Linked DNA regions of Diceros bicornis minor. The protein of the gene in region 3 purifies or fractionates together with the protein of the main gene of each other region. This does not show direct contact. Links are inferred from orthologs where the notes say so. Each region holds a gene or a part of one and is shown on either strand. Other genes may lie near its edges.

The links.
Region 1: the proteins of PEX19 (region 3) and FAF2 purify together in Homo sapiens (affinity purification with mass spectrometry; 4 studies listed by BioGRID and IntAct, counting the BioPlex papers as one, with this or other methods). This does not show direct contact. The link is inferred for Diceros bicornis minor from reciprocal best matches to the Homo sapiens genes PEX19 and FAF2.
Region 2: the proteins of PEX19 (region 3) and NAT14 purify together in Homo sapiens (co-immunoprecipitation; 3 studies listed by BioGRID and IntAct, counting the BioPlex papers as one, with this or other methods). This does not show direct contact. The link is inferred for Diceros bicornis minor from reciprocal best matches to the Homo sapiens genes PEX19 and NAT14.

Annotation. Positions count from the first base shown.
Region 1 is NC_080740.1:89,695,447-89,699,189, forward strand, and holds the start of FAF2 (FAS-associated factor 2), read left to right. Parts: upstream 1-1,475; 5' UTR 1,476-1,528; coding exon 1,529-1,591; intron 1,592-1,655; exon of another isoform or gene 1,656-2,311; coding exon of another isoform or gene 2,312-2,329; intron 2,330-3,743. UniProt on the Homo sapiens protein: Plays an important role in endoplasmic reticulum-associated degradation (ERAD) that mediates ubiquitin-dependent degradation of misfolded endoplasmic reticulum proteins.
Region 2 is NC_080773.1:33,458,520-33,462,262, reverse strand, and holds NAT14 (probable N-acetyltransferase 14), read right to left. Parts: upstream 2,593-3,743; 5' UTR 2,442-2,592; intron 2,037-2,441; 5' UTR 1,991-2,036; coding exon 1,919-1,990; intron 1,354-1,918; coding exon 805-1,353; 3' UTR 199-804; downstream 1-198. UniProt on the Homo sapiens protein: Probable acetyltransferase. May act as a transcription factor that regulates the expression of coproporphyrinogen oxidase by binding to a promoter regulatory element.
Region 3 is NC_080743.1:64,951,161-64,954,903, reverse strand, and holds the start of PEX19 (peroxisomal biogenesis factor 19), read left to right. Parts: upstream 1-947; 5' UTR 948-966; coding exon 967-1,069; intron 1,070-2,490; coding exon 2,491-2,600; intron 2,601-3,025; coding exon 3,026-3,191; intron 3,192-3,632; coding exon 3,633-3,718; intron 3,719-3,743. UniProt on the Homo sapiens protein: Necessary for early peroxisomal biogenesis. Acts both as a cytosolic chaperone and as an import receptor for peroxisomal membrane proteins (PMPs).

The DNA.
Region 1 (3,743 bases), on a different chromosome or scaffold from region 3:
ACTTTAGAGGGCATCTGACTTTGCGATGCCTCATCTAGTTCATTCATCTGGATCCAACATTACTGGAGATGTTGAACAGTACTGCATCTCCTTTGAGTTTTGAGTGGAAGTAATAAATTCTAAAGTCGCACTTGCTTGCTTCCAGTTTTACCTTAGAGGTCTAAGAAAGATTCCAGGGCATTGTGATGAAGTTTGTGCAGACCTGGTAAGACCTGATACAGGCCTGCAAGGAAGAAGTAGCCAAAACCTAAGTCCTTCCATTCCCTAGCGTACCCTTCACAGAACTTCAGCTTCCAGAGCACCTCCTGTCCTGTCTCACCTCACCAACCCTGTGAAGTGGGCAGGGTGGGATTCCACAGATGGGGAGTCACAGGTAGTCTGTGGAAAAGCATGCACCAGACCCACACCCCTCTGCCTCCCCAAGGCCTTTGGAGGGTGGACAGAGGAGGCCGAGGGCAGGAGAAAAGAAGCGGAAGCGGAAAAGGGCGATCTAAAGAGAGGTGGCAGGTTGGAAGCGGCTAGAAAGGTGCAGAGGAAGGCACACATTGGGGGGAGGGGGCGGAGGTGAGGCGGTGGAAAGGGTGAGGGACTGTCTCCAAGGAGAACGCACAGAAGCAGCATGTCGGGGGCTCTTAGGGAGCCTCATTCCACCAGTGGCAAAACGGAGTCCAGAGGGGAGGTGGTTTGCCCAAGGATGTCCAGCACTTTGCAAGGTGGGCGCTACCACCTGACCCCAGGTCTCCCGATCCCAGTCCAGGGAAGACCGGGCAGTGGGCGGAGGCCGCGAGAGGGCCTGAGGCAGGCAGGAGCAGAGGCCGGGCTCCCGCACCGTCGCAGCGCGGATAGAAGGAAAGCTCTGCCCAAGGCTGGTAGCGCCATTAACCGCCCAAGACCCAGGCAGCCGAGTCCAAACAATCCCAGCAAGCGACTTTGAAGCCGCGATTTTCATGCGGCAAAAGCCTTTCACAGCTTCCGGCTCGAAGGCGGCGTCGGAAATGCCCGATCAGTATTCGGAGACTTTCGGAACCTCCCGAGAGATAGTCAGGAGCTTTTGGAAACGTCAGGGCAGGAATCAAACATCAAACAGTCAATATTTTGGAACGGCCACAATCTCCTAAAAAATATTCAGGAATATTAGAGATTACGGGAAAACGGTTAGAGAGCAGCCGAAATCTGCCGAGTGGCATTCGGGAATTTCCGGAGCTGCTCGTGCCGCATTCGGAACCTCTCAGCTCTTTGCGGTCTATTCAGGGGTCTTGGGTCTCTACAGCAGACCCGTTCCTCGCCTAAATCGTGAGGGCGACTGGTGCCGACAGTCCCTCGGCAATTTCCGGAAGTGTTCGGGATCGGCCCGAGGGTGGCGCCCTCTGGCGGCGGGAACTGTCATCACCACCAACCCCCGGACTGGGCCAGCACGCGCAGACGCAGTTGCGCGCCAGCGGCCGTTCAGACCGGACGTGGTTGCTGCTGAGGTCAGTTCCGGCGGGTGACGGTGCGGACGGGTCAGAAGCGTAGAGGCGGCGGCAAAATGGCGGCGCCTGAGGATCGGGATCTAACCCAGGAGCAGACCGAGAAGCTGCTGCAGTTTCAGGTAGCAGCGAGTACTCGGTGCAGCAAATGCCGTCGCGGGCTGGGGAGCGGGCCCTTAGAGGAGCCTAGAACTCTCCTCAGATTGGGCCCGAGATTTTTCTCAGACCAGCAGGCGGCCCCCTCCCCCCCAGACGCCAACTGCCCTGCTGCCCCCGGCCCCGAGCCTCTGTCGGTCCCCGGCCTTCCAGCATGGCTGCAGTCAGACCCGCCTCCTCCCTGTCCCGTGTCCCCTCGGGTCAACCACCCTGGTTTCCGTTAGCGGCGCCAGTCCTCAGCCATCTTCCCAGCCCGAGGACGTTACCGCTGGGACCCTCTCCGCCCAACGACTCTGGATCTACCAAGATGTTTAATCCCCACTGCGGAGTTGGTCTCGTTTCGGGTCTGGAAAGCCTCCTAGCAGCATCCTCTACCATTTCTACAAACATTGACTGAAGGCCGCTGGGTGCCAGGTCCTGTGTTGGGCGCTCTGGTGGGGGAGAGGGCAGGGTGGCCCCCGCCCGAAAGGCGCGGGAGGACAGACACCACGTTAGGAAACAGTGCGGCGCTATAAGTGTCATCCGTGGCTTCCGACCGGGTTTATTACCCTGGGCTTGTTCCTGGAATCACGTGCTTGACTGTGCTTGAGGAGGTTGGGAACTTGGCAGGAATCTGCCTCCTTTTAGTGGATGTTGGGTTAAGAACTTTTGGCACTGAGCACTTATTTCTGAGCTGGAGAATCTGAATGGAGGAGACCACTAGGGTAGGTAACCTTGGCTCTTTGTTGCCCTGATGAATACCACATTCCTTATTTCTAAACTACGTATCTTAAAAACGTTAACCTCGTAAGGATGAGTTTGATGAGTTTATGGGTGTCTGAAGGGCTTTGTAAACTGTAAAATGCTCCCAAACAGTATTGCTGTTGTTAATCATTATTTAACTTAGGATAGAATGAAAGTTAGTGGTACAGTTATTTCCTAGTATAAAATGTGCTGTATATTCATTAATTCAGTAGTATTTACCAAAAACCTTAGTTCTCAGGCACTGCTAGTTAGAATACCATTTATTGAGTGTGAGGTTGTAAATACTTTACTGAACACTTAGCATACATTATTGCATTTACTACAACAACCCTATGAGATTCATACTGTTTACAGTCCCTATTTTACAAATGAGGGATACGAGGCTTAAGAAGTAACATGCTTAGTTTACATGGCTAGTGAGTGGTAGTCAGATTTAAAGCCAGGTCCATCTTTCCAGAACCTTTCCTGAGCTCTTGATGTGTGTGCTATACAGCCTGTGTAAGTATCAGTGTACAACTGAGAGTGAAATGCAAATGCTGTGATATTTTTTTTTCTTTGCAAGTTCTCACTTTTCTATAATTTCCTTGATTAGATTTCACTGTAGTTAATTTTGAAGTTTTTTTTTGTTTTTTTTTTTTGAGGCAGGAGTTCTGCTTTTTTTTTTTTGTGAGGAAGATCAGCCCTGAGCTAACATCCATGCCAATCCTCCTCTTTTTGCTGAGGAAAACCAGCCCTGAGCTAAAATCTATTGCCAATCCTCCTCCTTTTTCTCCCCAAAGCCCCAGTAGATAGTTGTATGTCATAGTTGCACATCCTTCTAGTTGCTGTATGTGGGAGCATGGCTGGAGAAGCGGTGCGTCCGCCCGGGATCTGAACCCGGGCGGCCAGTAGCGGAACGTGCACACTTAACGGCTAAGCCACGGGGCGGCCCCATAATTTTGAAGTTTTTTCCCTCGTAAATTGAGCAGTGGGTTGGAAGAGTGTAAATGGGAAAAAACTATCATAGTGGTTGATGTTTGATTGGAGTTTTGAGGAGAGAAATTGATGACACAACAAATCGGAATCAGAATGAATAAAGAGCACACAACTAGCTTTCACTTCCTGGTAGATCACTAAGTTCAGGGTTTTGTTTAATTTGGGCAGACCATTTTACCCCTTACAACTCTTCAAGAGTAAGCCCCCATGTTGTTTAAGTGTAATGAGGTGCTGTGAGTTATAAGTCATGATTTAGTTAGTCTAGTACTGGAAGGACATGAGTATATGATAGCATTTCTGAGGTGAAGTGCATAGCAACCTCCATTTTTGTCTTCACTGGACATCTCTATCAGTAAGAGGTGAGTAGCAGGTTACAGTTATATTAAGATTGCTTTATGA
Region 2 (3,743 bases), on a different chromosome or scaffold from region 3:
GGCGGAAAAAATTCAGTAATGGGGAGCGTGAGTCAGAGGGCTGGCAGGGAGCGGGGCGCCTGCCGTGAGCTCATCGCCTCCCTTCTCCCCGTCCAGCACCCCCACCGACAATTAATGTCAACTCGGGGAACAAGGAGCCAGACAGAAGGGGGGTTCTGCGGTGGACTGGAAAAGGCATCAGAGAGAGGGAGACCGGTGCACAGCAGTTCCAGGCTTTATTAACAAACGAGTGTAAAAACCCAGATGGGCCTGGCCGGCCCTCTCGGCTCTCACGGCTCTCACCTTCCCCGGAAAGGGCCAGCGGGCCAGGCAGCCCTGAGCTCATCCCCTCCTCCCCGGGGGCTCTCCCTAGGCAGACAACCCTCCCCTGCAAAGGCTCAGCTAGCTCATCCCCTCCAAACACAGGAATCAAACCCCAGCCCATTCCCAAGAGGCCTTGTCCCTATCCTCCACGTCCCCACCCCAAGTCCTAACCCTTGGGGGGACAGCTGTGCTCGGCCTCCTCTCCACCCCACATCCCTCTCCCAGGCCCATAGCACAAACAGCGCAGACTTTGCAGACAGACAGACCGAGATTTCTCAGTGCAGACAGAATCTGAGGCAGGGGATTAGACAGATTGACCTCTCTGAGAAGTTCAAACACTACAGACAGCCATCAGGCTGCGGTGGGGTCTCTTGCCTTCTGCAGACCTGTTTCTGGGCCCTGGGTGGGCTGGGGATTCACGGAGGGAGGGCATGAATGCGCCTGCACACAGTAGGTACTCCCTAAGTGTTGGTGTTCCTCCCTCCCTGTCTGGGTCTGGAGTCACAGGTCCTTGCTGAACTCCCTCACCAGCGTGTAGCCCATGCAGCCCCAGCTCCCGTCGGCCTGGTACCCACAGCCCTCCAGCATCCCCGCCACGCCCCAAGCTGCCACGGCCACCGGAACCACGAGCCGGGCCCGGGGCTCCCCCATGCCCCCCGCCCAGGCTCGAGCCCGGGATTCGGCAAAGGCCAGCAGGCGCCTGCCCACGCCTCGGCGCCGGTGCCAGCGGGAAACGGAGAGGCGGGTGACCCGGGCCCCATCCCCGGCGCTGGAGCCCGGGGCCAGGGCCAGGACCCCGCACACGTCCCCCGAGCCGCGCACTGCCACCCAGGGCCCCCCCAGACCGCCTGGTGGAGGCAGCGAGCCCCACCGGGCCCGCAGGCCCAGCTTCACAGCCGCCACAGCCAGGAACACAGGCAGGAGGAGGGCCAGGGCAAAGGAGGCCAGGACGAAGCGCAGGCCACTGCTGGCCGCCGCCAGGAGGAGCAGGGCTGGTGGCCGCGTCAGGGCATGCAGGGCCACGCGGTTCTCGGTGTCCTTCACACCAGCCTGTGGGCAAGACAGGTAGTCAGGGCGGGGAGGCTTGGCCCTCCGTCACGATAGGGCCCCCGTGGGCACCAGGGACTGGGAGAGAGAACGGGCCCTGCCAGGGAGGGATCCAGGGTGGGCGCTCCCGAAGGAGAAGGGAAGTTGATGCGTGGTCAGCTCCACAGCCCTCCAGCTGTTAACACCCCGCCTGACCCCCAGGGGTGAGAGAGGGCGCTAGAGAAAGGAGGAGCCGTGCCAGGACGCGGCTTAGGAGGAAATGATGGCTCCCCAGGGGTCCCGGCTGGCTCAGGCTGGCTCAGGCACGTGACCGAAGCCACTCACACTGGGGTCCCTGGCCCCCCAGGCTCACGGTGCCCCCAGGTGCCCCCTCCCTGCCACCCCCAGGCTCATGGTGCCCCCAGGTGCCCCCTCCCCCCCCCCACAGGCTCATGGTGCCCCCAGATGCCCCCTCCCCCCCCCAGGCTCACGGTGCCCCCAGATGCCCCCTCCCCCCCCACAGGCTCATGGTGTCCCCAGGTGCCCCCTCCCTGCCCCCCAGGCTCATGGTGCCCCTGCCGGCTCTCACCTTCAGCATCTCCAGCACCAGCGGTTTCTCATCTTCCCTCATCTCCCGCACAGACAGGTGGCTGGGGGCCATGGCAGCCCCCAGGCTCCCGCTCCCCCAGAAGGGAGCAGGCGTGCACCTGGTGAAAGCAAGCAGTGAGCATCAGCAGGGCACCTCTCGTCCCCAAAGCGCCCCAGGGGTGGGGACCAGCAGCAGCACGTCCCAGATCAGGACACTGCAGACGCTTGGGGTCCCCAAGCAAGGTCCGAGGCAGCATAGGCCTCCCTCCACCCAGCGACCTTTCTCAAGTCTCCAGGGGTCCCGCCTCCCGCCCGCCCCGTGGTGTTCAGCGATCTACCCCTAAGCGCCCTGTGAACGCCAACACCTTGCAACCCGGGGCCCCCGCCCAGGATCCGGGGCTGCCCCGGGGAAGGGGGTGGTCAGCGAAACTCCCCCCACAGCCGGGGAATGGGCCGCGCTCCCCAACCCCGGCGCCCGGCGCCCCTTCCCCCCCACAGTCGCAGGAGCAAGGACACGCAAGCACCTCTGCAGGTCGCTTCGATCCTTCGACAAGGCGTGGGGGCTGCAGGGTCGGGAAGGGGTCGCCGGCGGAAGTGACGTCACACCGCGCACGGAGGGGGGCGGGGCGGCGCCTGCACTCGGCCTTAGCAACTGTTGCCAAGCTCCCGGCGGGGGCTCGGGGGAGTCCGGGCGTGGACTGGGAGGGACCGGGCAGGGAGCGGCGGGGGTGGGGCAGGGGAGAAGGAGCCATGGAGAAGGGGGCCTCTGGGAAGACGGGAGCAGACGCTGGCGGGGGAGGGGCCGGCAGGGAGGGGATGGGGGCGGTGGGACCCGGCGGGGTGGGGCGGGGAGCGGTACTCACCCGGCTCGCGGAGGGTGAGCTCAAGCTCGCAGCCTGACGTTCCCTGGTTGCTAAGCAACCGGAGCGCTGAGAGGGGGCGGCGATGCGAGCAGATCAATTCTCATTGGCTCCGGGGCCTTCGTGGGAGAGGCCGCGCCAGCATCCCGAGCCCACTAGCTCCCAAACTCCCCCACCCCAGGAACCTCCACGCCAACCCACCTGGGCTCTCAGTGACCTTCAGATAAGCATTCCCGTCCACCTATCTTTCAGATGAGAGGAGGGGTGGGGTGAGTTACAGCGAACAAGTGGCTGAATCCGGATTCTGGATTCCAACGTCTCCCCACTATACTGACCACTGCATCCCTTTTTTAAGAATAAACCGAGCCCCACATAGAAGTGGCTGACGCCAAGACGCAAAGCAAGTCACCTGCGAGCCAGGAAGCAAGAGATAAGACTCCAAGCTCCCAACCGGTGGTTATGGCCATGACATTTCCCTCCGCGCCCCTCCCCACCAAAACAAAACACAGAAGAGGAGGTTCTGGTCTTTATTAGCAAGCCCGGCCTGCAGCACCCCTGCCCCCAACCCAACCCAGGCAGACAGAAAGTCGGGGTCTCCGTGTGGGGCGGGAAGAGGTACCAGTGGTTCTACTCAAAACGTGTGCACCAGCTGGACTGCGGGCAGAGTCTGGACAATCTGGATGGAGGGCAAGCCCTGTGGGGTCATGCCCCCAGGCACAGCTCCTGCGGGGACCACTTGTACCATCTGGGAAGTGGGCGCCGCAGGGATGCCCGCGGGGATAGAGGCTGGGCCAGGTGGCGGTGGGGCCAGCAGCTGCAGCGTGGCGGCGCCTCCCCCAATGCTGCTGTTCTCCAGCAGCTCGGTGGCCGGAGCGCTGCGGATGATAAGCAGTTTCTGTCCCGGGGGGCCGGGGGCAGGTGGCTCAGCCAGCCCCGCGGGGAGGGTCTCTACCTCCTGCACACACA
Region 3 (3,743 bases):
GTCTAGAGTTGTCTCTATCTAAGCCTCCCCCAGCTTCACTTGATTGGAGGTTGAGTTCTGTATGGAGAAAAGGAGATAGGTCAGGGAAGGCAGGTCTATTACTAGTACATTCGAATTGCCCGCTTGCTCAGTCTGAAGTCCTAGAGTTGCTTTTTCTGCCTGATTTGATTCGACTAACTTTGAGTTCTGACTAAGTTCCTGGCACCGTGTCCTTTAGTCTGACAATTTTAATGGAGAATAGGAAATGAGAGAGATCCACTAGATGCTGCAGAGAAAAATTCCTCGTTAGGGTGTGGGAGAGCAAGGAATGGCCAATGAGTGCCTACTAAATTTTAGGCCCTAGCTTAAGAGCTGGGGATACAGCAGTGAAGACAACAGATGAAAATCCTTCCCATCATAGTACTTAAACTCTAAAGGGGTGGGGGAGACAATAAATAAGTAAAATACATAGCGTTAAGTGTTGAGAAAAATAAAGGGGATAGGCAGTGTATATGTATGTGTGTGGGAAAGGTTGCAATTTTATTTAGTGAAGCCAAAAGAAGGCATTTCAGAGACGATATTTGAGTAAAACACTGAAGGAAGTGAGAGGAAAATAGAATGTTATGTGCCATAACTGTCTTAGTGGTTGTACATGCACAGCTTCTGGTTATTTGTAGGCAGTTTGTCCCAATCTGGCCTACTCACAGCTCAGGAAGAAATAATGAAAGACCTACTTTTCTAGATAATGTGGGAAGTTGAAAAAAAGGAGGCTAGGCCAGTAAGAAACCTGGCAGAAGATAGCAGAAAGTTCTCTGTTCAATGGTTCCTGGAGAAAGAGGAAAAAAAAAAAAAAAAAATCAAAGCTTCCTGTCCCTTTAAAAATGGCGGCTCCGCAGCGGCCGACAATACCATTGATTGGCAGGAGGGGCGGGGGCGGGGTGGGGCGCCGCGGAGTCCCGCCTCCTACGGCAAGTCGGAGGTAGCAAGATGGCTGCCGCTGGGGCAGACTGTGGTGTTGGGGCCGACGCGGACCGGGAATTGGAAGAGCTTCTGGAAAGTAAGAGCCCGTATTGGGAAAGACCCAAAGAGGGTGGGTGTCAGGACCAATTCAGGGGGTTCAGTAAACTTGAGATATTTGGGCGGAACAGGAGAGGCTTTGTAAAGGTTGGACTGGGGGGGGAGGGTCTGACTGCGAACCCGAAATCACTCTCCCTTTCCTGCGCGGTGGGGGCTGGGGAGCCCACCTCGGGTCCCTGAGCGGCCCAGAGCGTTGATCTCCCTGCCTGAGGGGAAGCAGTAATCCATAGGACGGTGTTTAACGATCCCGCCCCAAACTCCCCTTACTTTAGGTTATTAGTAAGTTCTTGAAGTCTAATTTCCTTCCCGCCAGCACCAACACTCGGTCCTTGGTGGTCAGCGAACCTGACACTCACGGATTGTTTATATTAACTCTTAACAAGCTCGTAGTGCGTCCTTCTATGCGCTGTCCTGTCCTCCTTAATACAAAAGACACTTCTTTCCGTCTCCCAGTCCTTTCACCTTTCTCTCACCAGGCCCCTTTCCAGTTCTTTCATCATGTCAAAACTCGAAACGACTCTTTTCCCATTATTTTGAAAAACTGAGAAGAGAGGCCTCAAGGGAAGACAGTTCGCCCTCTTGAGGGTGGATGTGCTTTTCTTCCTTAGCCCTGTCCACTTCTCTTTTGGTTTCTTGCCCAGAGTGGGGACAGTGTCCTCCCCCAAGGCCTGGCAAGTAGAATGGTGGTGAGGACACAGGCTTCTCAGGGAAGAAGTGAATGTTTTTTTCTCTTGCCCTGTCACAGAGATGTGGGCAGGCAGAAAGATGAACAGAACGGGTGAGGAGTGCCAAGTGACTCTGTGAATTGGTATACGGTTATCTGCAGAGATGAGGCCAGAGAGAGCACTGGCAGCTCTTAGGAGCTTAGCTGAGGAAAGGCTAAATTGAAGGATAAGAGAAGAGAGTTTAATGTCCTCCGGTGGAGTGTAGTGTGGAGTCCCTCAGTTTGTGGTAGTACCAGGACCCATGGGAAGCTGGGTGGGACATCTTGTGGCTTCTACCTTCTTGCCAAAGATTATTCTCTTTAGGGCTCCAGAGTGATTTCAGTGGGGTTAAGGATATCTGTGTTCTCTGCTCCTGTTGAATATTCGTATTGGATTTCTGGGGAATCATTAGAGTGTGGCAAAGAAGGCACTGTGTAGATGGAGATGTCTCTGCCGAACTTCTTTTAACTCTCTTCTCCCAGCTCTGAGACAGATGCTTGTTCCATCTCAGGGGCTTTCTTCCCCTTTGATCACAATGAATTAGGTAATGGGGAGGAAGAGGGAGGCTTGTTGAGGGATGGGCCAGGAAAGAGAGTTTCAAAAAAAAAAGGAGAAAACTTTAGGAAAGTTGGCAGTTTGCAAGATTGTGCTTTTAATGCTTTGCCCAGAAACCCCCCAGCATTGCATCTTCATCCATCCCCAACACACACCATGTCTCTTGTCTCTGAAGGTGCTCTTGATGATTTCGATAAGGCCAAACCTTCCCCAGCACCCCCTCCTACCACCACGGCCCCTGCTGCTTCGGGGCCCCAGAAGAGATCGCCAGGAGACACTGCCAAAGTATAAATTCCACCCACTTAAGGGAGGGGGAGGGGATGGGCATGCAGTTCTGAGCAGAGGTGGGGCAGGCCCCTGTGGGCCAGAGGGGTTGGGAGGAGGGTGCCTTGGCCTCATTGCTGAGTGCTCTTGCAGGCCTCAGTCCTTGTGAAACAGGGACTTAAGGTTGAGTGGAGGAATCGCAAGGAGGTTTCTTGAGAAAAGAGCAGATTTAAATGGTTGGATTGGGAATGCCTCTCCATATCCTTCCCTGAGTGGCCAGATGCCTTTCTTGCTGTCCTCATTAAGAGAAGTAGTTAGAATGTCCAATGGAGGTGGGTAGGAGGGAAGCACTGCATTTCCCAGAGCCACTGCCTGCGGCTTCTGTTAGAGGCCAGGTGCAGTGGGGTGCCAAGTAAGAGATGCATTTTGACCACTCCTCCTTGCAGGATGCCCTCTTCGCCTCCCAAGAGAAGTTTTTCCAGGAACTGTTCGACAGCGAGCTGGCTTCCCAAGCCACTGCAGAGTTCGAGAAGGCAATGAAGGAACTGGCTGAGGAAGAACCCCACCTGGTAGAGCAGTTCCAAAAGCTCTCAGAGGCTGCTGGGAGAGTAGGTGAGGAGGGGGCATCAGACAACTGGAAATATCTGAACAAATCTCTTCAGTCATTGTTGTTTGAAAACAACAAAATTCTTAGTAAAGTTGATTGTAGTCATGATATCACTGCCATGGAGTGGGGCGAGGAGATGGGAGGAGGGATGAGACCCTCTTTAATGAAAGAGATGAGATGGGTTGGAAAGTAATAGAAAAGATGATTGAAAACGGACCATTTTAAAGGTCACAGTGTTATTGTAGGTGTCATCGTGGAGAACAAACTGACACACAGTCCATCTAGAGAGGTGAAAATGACTATGAAGATAACCATAGCATATTCAAAGATTTGGAGTGCTAGTGATTCACTAGTAAATGTTCCGTATCCAAGCTGTTAACCAGGTCAGACTAGGTAAGCAAACAGTTAAAATCCTAATTGACCTTGGCTCTTTTGATCTTTCCTAGGCAGTGATGCGACTTCCCAACAAGAATTCACTTCTTGCCTAAAGGAGACATTAAGTGGACTAGCCAAGAATGCTACTGACCTTCAGGTGAGGGGGAATAGGTAGGGGACCA